Xenopus tropicalis: one gene and its partner. The protein of the gene in region 2 purifies or fractionates together with the protein of the main gene of each other region. This does not show direct contact. Links are inferred from orthologs where the notes say so. Each region holds a gene or a part of one and is shown on either strand. Other genes may lie near its edges.

Region 1 (2,952 bases), about 67 Mb from region 2:
CTGCTTTCAACAGGCTCTAGCCCCCATTTCTGCATATCGGATCCAATGATAATGTGTTCACTTTACTCCCATTAACAGAATTCATTTGATTACATATTTTAGCATGGAATGCAGCAGTCAAACTGCCTGAAACCTTTCCATGTGCCTTGGGGCTTGCTACCAATACAGCAGAGACAGCTAAGGTGGCCATACATGGACCATTAAAAGCCACCAACTCTGGTAAGGGCTTTTTGTCTAACCAATCTCTAGGCAAAAATCAGTGCCATCTGGTGAGGACTGCATTGTTGCACTGATGTGCTTCTCAGCTGGCAAGCTCTTTCTAGGCCCATATTCCAATCCTGTCATTGCCCAGGGGTCCGAATGGTATTTGGCCACACACAGAGTCAGCCTAACCAAATGAGTGTATCTAATAGTGTACAGTATGGCCAGTTTAAAAGTATAAAATCATGCACAATCTATTACCAGCAACATTCCACATAATATAGCCAACAAAAATGGGATCTTTGGAAACCAATGAGGCGACAGCCTTAGCTGCAATTTTATTAGAAAGGAAATAATCAGTTGTCCAGTCATTCTATCATACAGGCCTTAAAAACAGTAGAAAACAGTGAGCTATAAATGGATATCATTGCATGTGGAGTGGGAGGTTGGGGAGTCGGACTAGGTGAGATATGGGAATAAGCGTACCTGGGATATTGGCTGCTGTCAAATGCTTGGAAAGTGATGGGATTCTCACATTAAATATACCAGTTTCTGCACAGTCCTGTGTGACCGGAGTGCTTGCGAGGCTGTTTGTATAGATGTGAGACCACCAATGAGGAAGATGCATTAGTGTTGCGGGTCAGTGTATAACACTCACATCGCTATGGACCCCTGCAGATTTGGCAACGCCGTCAAGGGAAGGAAATTACAGCACCATTTCATTATTCAAAGTCCTTTGTGGGGGGCCCCATATGTACATAGTTATTAGAAAGAACGTGCATATGTGGTGCTTACGGCGCGGCTTCCATCACTTGCACAAGTACAACGTACAAAACCGTGACTATAAAGATTACACGGTGACTGGACGAGCATTGTCTGCGCTAACCGGGACCCCACACTCTCATCCTTTGCTATACAAACACTTGGCTTCATGATTTGCAGTAAAGAAGATACTTCCAGATTATCTATCTCACTCATACTGTAAATAGTCTGGACACTAACGCGGACAATCACCCAGATATGACAGGGTGTTCGGTCTCCTCTGGAAAGAGCCTACCAGAAGGGTTTGGCATTCAGACTGCCCCGTAATTATCTATATCACAGTAATTGCATCCTTAGTGTAAAGAAATCACATTGAGCGAAACCTTCCCTCTGCCTGACGGTGCCAAGCTGTAGAACAAACACACCAACTACAGTATGTGGTGCCAGGAGATGCCCCCACAGGTGCTGACCCACAGTATTAGGTTGCTTGAGGAGAAGGTAAAAGCTGCAGCTAAAGAGAGTGGGTTTGGTTGTGTTTGGTGAGTGTGGCAGCCGAGTCCCTTCCTCACACTGGAAAGTGCTAGTGATGCAGGCTATTTACACAAGTACACGAGCAGTAGTGAAGGTTTCACCCCTCTGCAAAGCAGCTTAGAGTTTCAGCATCACAGGAGCAGAATAAGGACAATCCAGCCTGAAGAAAGTCAGTGTCTCCCAATTTTGCGTGAACGCCCTTCCAAGCCCGGCCTAAAAGGTCTGCCAGCCCAAAGTGTCCATTGTGAAGTATAAAAAAAAAGTCTGCTGCAAACACGTGGCTGGCACTGTGGCAGATCCTCCAACCAGCAGCGGTATAAATGCCAGGTTATGGGACATGATTTGCTGAGTCTGCCTTGGGCTTTGCACGCACCATTTAGCAAGTCCAGACCTAGGACAGAGAGCAGATATATGTCAGTACATTATATGATGAGGCTTGAGGGCTCTGTAGGTTTCTCGTCACTTGCAGCCTCATATATATATATATATATCAGCATGATATGTTCCTAAAGAAGATGGACTAAACCTACCTTCACTGTACTGTCCACTGCACCAGAGAAGAGGCGCCCCCGTGACACTGCCAGAGCGGTGACACTACCCTGATGTCTTAGCAGCGTCTGGGTGCATATCATGTTGTCCATACTCCAGACCTGTGGGAACATGAATCAGTAAGTAACGACAGGGAAAATACAATGTAATCAGTTTTCACAATGACCCAAGCACAAACATGTCCAACATGGCATCTTCTGCTGCTGGGGAGCTGCAATGCCCTATGGGTGGCTGAGAAGAGAGTTCAATGGCAACCAGGCCTGGGATACAAAATAGGCATTTCAAGTACACAGAGGCCCAAACAGCCCCCCCCAGCCCAATAAATAGTGACTGTCTATGGCATCTTACAGCAGCCCCTCTGGCATTTGCCAGAACCCACAGATTGCCAGTCCGGGCTTGATATCAACCAGAGGGTGCAATGCTGACATTTTTGGCATCTTCTGCTGCTGGGGAGCTGCAATGCCCTATGGGTGGATGGGAAGAGTTCAATAGCAACCAGGCCTGGGATACAAAATAGGCATTTCAAGTACACAGAGGCCCAAACAGCCCCCCCCAGCCCAATAAATAGTGACCGTCTATGGCATCTTACAGCAGCCCCTCTGGCATTTGCCAGAACCCACAGATTGCCAGTCCAGGCTTGATATCAACCAGAGGGTGCAATGCTGACATTTTTGGCCTGTGGGCAGAATGTTCTTCTAAGGAGACCTTCCTCCAGAGGTGGTGGTTAATTTTTCCCCAAATGTCTGCACTGACACAATAGGCTGCCATAAACATACATTATCTAGGAGAGATGACCTATGATTGGTCACTGCACCTACTGGCTTGGACATGGCTTACGAGTGGAACAAACAACTGAGCTGATTATTCAGTCCATTACTTGTTTGCAGGCTGATTATGTCAGTGGGGGCC
Region 2 (4,131 bases):
TACAGGTACTGTTTTATTATTACAGAGAAAAGGGAATCATTTAACCATGAAATAAACCCAATAGGGCTGTTCTGCCCCCAATAAGGGGTAATTATATCTTAGTTGGGATCAAGTACAGGTACTGTTTTATTATTACAGAGAAAAGGGAATCATTTAACCATGAAATAAACCCAATAGGGCTGTTCTGCCCCAATAAGGGGTAATTATATCTTAGTTGGGATCAAGTACAGGTACTGTTTTATTATTACAGAGAAAAGGGAATCATTTAACCATGAAATAAACCCAATAGGGCTGTTCTGCCCCCAATAAGGGGTAATTATATCTTAGTTGGGATCAAGTACAGGTACTGTTTTATTATTACAGAGAAAAGGAAATCACTTTTAAAATTCTGAATTTATTTGCTTATAATGGAGTCAATGGGAGATGGCCTTTCCGTAATTCAGAACGGAATTCATCTGGATAATGGGTTTCCGCATACAAGATCCCATATCTGTATTCCTTTACTTACAGGTGGTTACCAGCACCCTATCCAGGCTGATTTTAGAGGCCGTCTTAGTGTTCCTATTAGGGATGCACCAAATCCAGGATTCGGCCAAGATTCTGCCTTTTTATGCAGGATTCGGATATGGCCTGGTTGAACCAAATCCTTAAAATCATGTGCCTTTTGGCCACATAAACACAAAGTAAAACAAATTTAAGCAAGCACGACCCAGAAATAGTGTATTTGGTGCATCCCTAGTTCCTCTGCAGAGCAGTGACCATAGCACGGGGCCAAACAATTGCCCTTCCCAAACCATATCTGTTTGGACCTGTACAGGCTGCAACTGGAGAAGCTGGAAAATCTAGTTGCCTAAAAATGAGAGCAAGTTTAGTGACTTACTGCACAGCCCCTATCCGTCAATGCTTCTAGCCCCCCCACCAGAAACAAGCAGCTAATTTACACCACTGGATTGCATGACTTGCTGGATCAGCTCCCAGGAATCTCCCCCGTCCCTGACTGATCCCCTTAGGGCTGAGCTACACTGCGTGCAACAACACCAGATCCTGTCGGGCGCTACTAAATCTGATGAGTTTATGAGATCTTCCGGTCAATGTATCTCTGCAACAGCGACTATAAAGCCTTAGTACAGGTATGGGAGCCATTATCTGGAAACCCGTTATCCAGAAAGCTCAGAATTACGGAAGTGTCATCTCCTATAGACTCCATTATAAGCAAATAATTCTAATTTTTAAAAATGATTCCCTTTTCTCTGTAATAATAAAACAGTACCTGTACTTGATCCCAAATAAGATATAATTTCCCCTTATTGGGGGCAGAACAGCCCTATTGGGTTTATTTCATGGTTAAATGATTCCCTTTTCTCTGTAATAATAAAACAGTACCTGTACTTGATCCCAACTAAGATATAATTACCCCTTATTGGGGGCAGAACAGCCCTATTGGGTTTATTTAATGGTTAAATGATTCCCTTTTCTCAGTAATAATAAAACAGTACCTGTACTTGATCCCAACTAAGATATAATTACCCTTATTGGGGCAGAACAGCCCTATTGGGTTTATTTAATGGTTAAATGATTCCCTTTTCTCTGTAATAATAAAACAGTACCTGTACTTGATCCCAACTAAGATATAATTACCCCTTATTGGGGCAGAACAGCCCTATTGGGTTTATTTAATGGTTAAATGATTCCCTTTTCTCTGTAATAATAAAACAGTACCTGTACTTGATCCCAACTAAGATATAATTACCCCTTATTGGGGCAGAACAGCCCTATTGGGTTTATTTAATGGTTAAATGATTCCCTTTTCTCTGTAATAATAAAACAGTACCTGTACTTGATCCCAACTAAGATATAATTACCCCTTATTGGGGGCAGAACAGCCCTATTGGGTTTATTTCATGGTTAAATGATTCCCTTTTCTCTGTAATAATAAAACAGTACCTGTACTTGATCCCAACTAAGATATAATTACCCCTTATTGGGGGCAGAACAGCCCTATTGGGTTTATATTATATGTAAGTAGCTCCCCTATTCTGTATAATAAGAGAAAATACCATTCCAATCACCATACACTTTCTTCCCTCATTCTCTGTGGGTTTAATGTACTTGCCAAGGCAATTGCTTCTGACTGCTGCACTGCTGGCTGTGACTGCTGACACAATGTAGCAGATAGCAGCTGATTCCCATGGCAAACACAAATATTAGCCACACTTGCCCCCCCATGACACCCTCAGACATTGCTCCCCAGCCCCAATACATCATATAGCCCCCCTGTAATGCCCATAGCACCCCCCCTTTACAGTTGTCCCTCCCCCATAACAGCCCCCAATGAATTCCCCCCCCCTCAGAGTTCCATAAACACTAATAGCCCCCCAACACAACCCCCCCAAAGCCTGCAGCCCCCTTTAAAATGAATGTGTGGCCCTTATACCTGTCAGCTGAGCCGGGGGCCCGGTTGTACTTCCCAGAAGCCCTTGCAGCTCCGACTCCAGCAATCCCCCGCCCCCAGCCTGTTCCTCCCGGGGGGGGCGGGGGGTCACAGGCCCGGGGGCAGCGGCGGCAGTGTTATTCCGAACTGGGCCCGCTCTTCACAAAATGGCGGCCATCCCGGAACCCTCGGAACTTGCACAGGCCCCGTAACTGCTCCGCTTACGAAAAGGCAGCCGCGGCGTAAGGGTTAATTAATAAGGAGCGACGGAACCAAACCGAGCGTGTGAACCTGGGACTACGGGACCGAGTACGCGCACGTCACAGGGGGGAGGGGCTAGCGCCAGCAGAGACAAGCACGGAGGCGTCAATAAAGGGGAGGAGCACGGCTGTCATCGCCTAGAGACAAAACTTTCAGCTTATTGGCCCACAGCCTTGTCTGTCATTTCAACAGGGGATGGCTCAAGCACATGCGCAATTCGATTGGCTTGCGTAAACTCTCAACGACGGAATTCTGGGAGTTGTAGTTGTGAAGCTCACGGAGATGCGGAAGCTGAGCGTTCAGATTTAAAGTGATAGAGTTCCCTACTTGTGAGGGGGTTTTGCTCGTGTTTAATTTTCATAGAAATGTGGAATAAAAAAACACATTCGGTTGATAATGTATCACTTGTAGTATATCAGTGTCGCCTTATACCGCGTTAGACCGGGGTGGCCCTTCTCTTCCATTCCATGGAGTTTGTCTCATAAAGGTTTTATTCAAGGAAATAATGTCAAGTTGTTAATAGACAACATTAAGGGGTTCTGTGCCCCCCATATAAAGGCACAAGGCTGCAGGCTGAGTTATACAGGGAACTCTGAGTATCACTCATGTATTATAAGGGATAATGTACCCCCTACTGTAAATGATAAGGATATTAGCAGTCACTGAGGGGTTCTGTGCCCCCCATATAAAGGCACAAGGCTGCAGGCTGAGTTATACAGGGAACTCTGAGTATCACTCATGTATTATAAGGATAATGTACCCCCTACTGTAAATGATAAGGATATTAGCAGTCACTGAGGGGTTCTGTGCCCCCCATATAAAGGCACAAGGCTGCAGGCTGAGTTATACAGGGAACTCTGAGTATCACTCATGTATTATAAGGGATAATGTACCCCCTACTGTAAATGATAAGGCTATTAGCAGTCACTGAGGGGTTCTGTGCCCATATAAAGGCACAAGGCTGCAGGCTGAGTTATACAGGGAACTCTGAGTATCACTCATGTATTATAAGGGATAATGTACCCCCCTACTGTAAATGATAAGGATATTAGCAGTCACTGAGGGGTTCTGTGCCCCCCATATAAAGGCACAAGGCTGCAGGCTGAGTTATACAGGGAACTCTGAGTATCACTCATGTATTATAAGGGATAATGTACCCCCTACTGTAAATGATAAGGATATTAGCAGTCACTGAGGGGTTCTGTGCCCCCCATATAAAGGCACAAGGCTGCAGGCTGAGTTATACAGGGAACTCTGAGTATCACTCATGTATTATAAGGATAATGTACCCCCTACTGTAAATGATAAGGATATTAGCAGTCACTGAGGGGTTCTGTGCCCCCCATATAAAGGCACAAGGCTGCAGGCTGAGTTATACAGGGAACTCTGAGTATCACTCATGTATTATAAGGGATAATGTACCCCCTACTGTAAATGAT

What was found. Proteins that work in one complex are often made in the same cells at the same time.
Region 1: the proteins of map3k2 (region 2) and traf7 purify together in Homo sapiens (affinity purification with mass spectrometry; 3 studies listed by BioGRID and IntAct, with this or other methods). This does not show direct contact. The link is inferred for Xenopus tropicalis from reciprocal best matches to the Homo sapiens genes MAP3K2 and TRAF7.

Annotation. Positions count from the first base shown.
Region 1 is NC_030685.2:19,240,272-19,243,223, reverse strand, and holds the end of traf7 (E3 ubiquitin-protein ligase TRAF7), read right to left. Parts: intron 2,145-2,952; coding exon 2,025-2,144; intron 1,886-2,024; coding exon 1,871-1,885; 3' UTR 501-1,870; downstream 1-500. UniProt on the Homo sapiens protein: E3 ubiquitin and SUMO-protein ligase that plays a role in different biological processes such as innate immunity, inflammation or apoptosis. Potentiates MAP3K3-mediated activation of JUN/AP1 and DDIT3 transcriptional regulators.
Region 2 is NC_030685.2:86,477,504-86,481,634, reverse strand, and holds the start of map3k2 (mitogen-activated protein kinase kinase kinase 2), read right to left. Parts: upstream 2,801-4,131; 5' UTR 2,435-2,800; intron 1-2,434. UniProt on the Homo sapiens protein: Component of a protein kinase signal transduction cascade. Regulates the JNK and ERK5 pathways by phosphorylating and activating MAP2K5 and MAP2K7. Plays a role in caveolae kiss-and-run dynamics.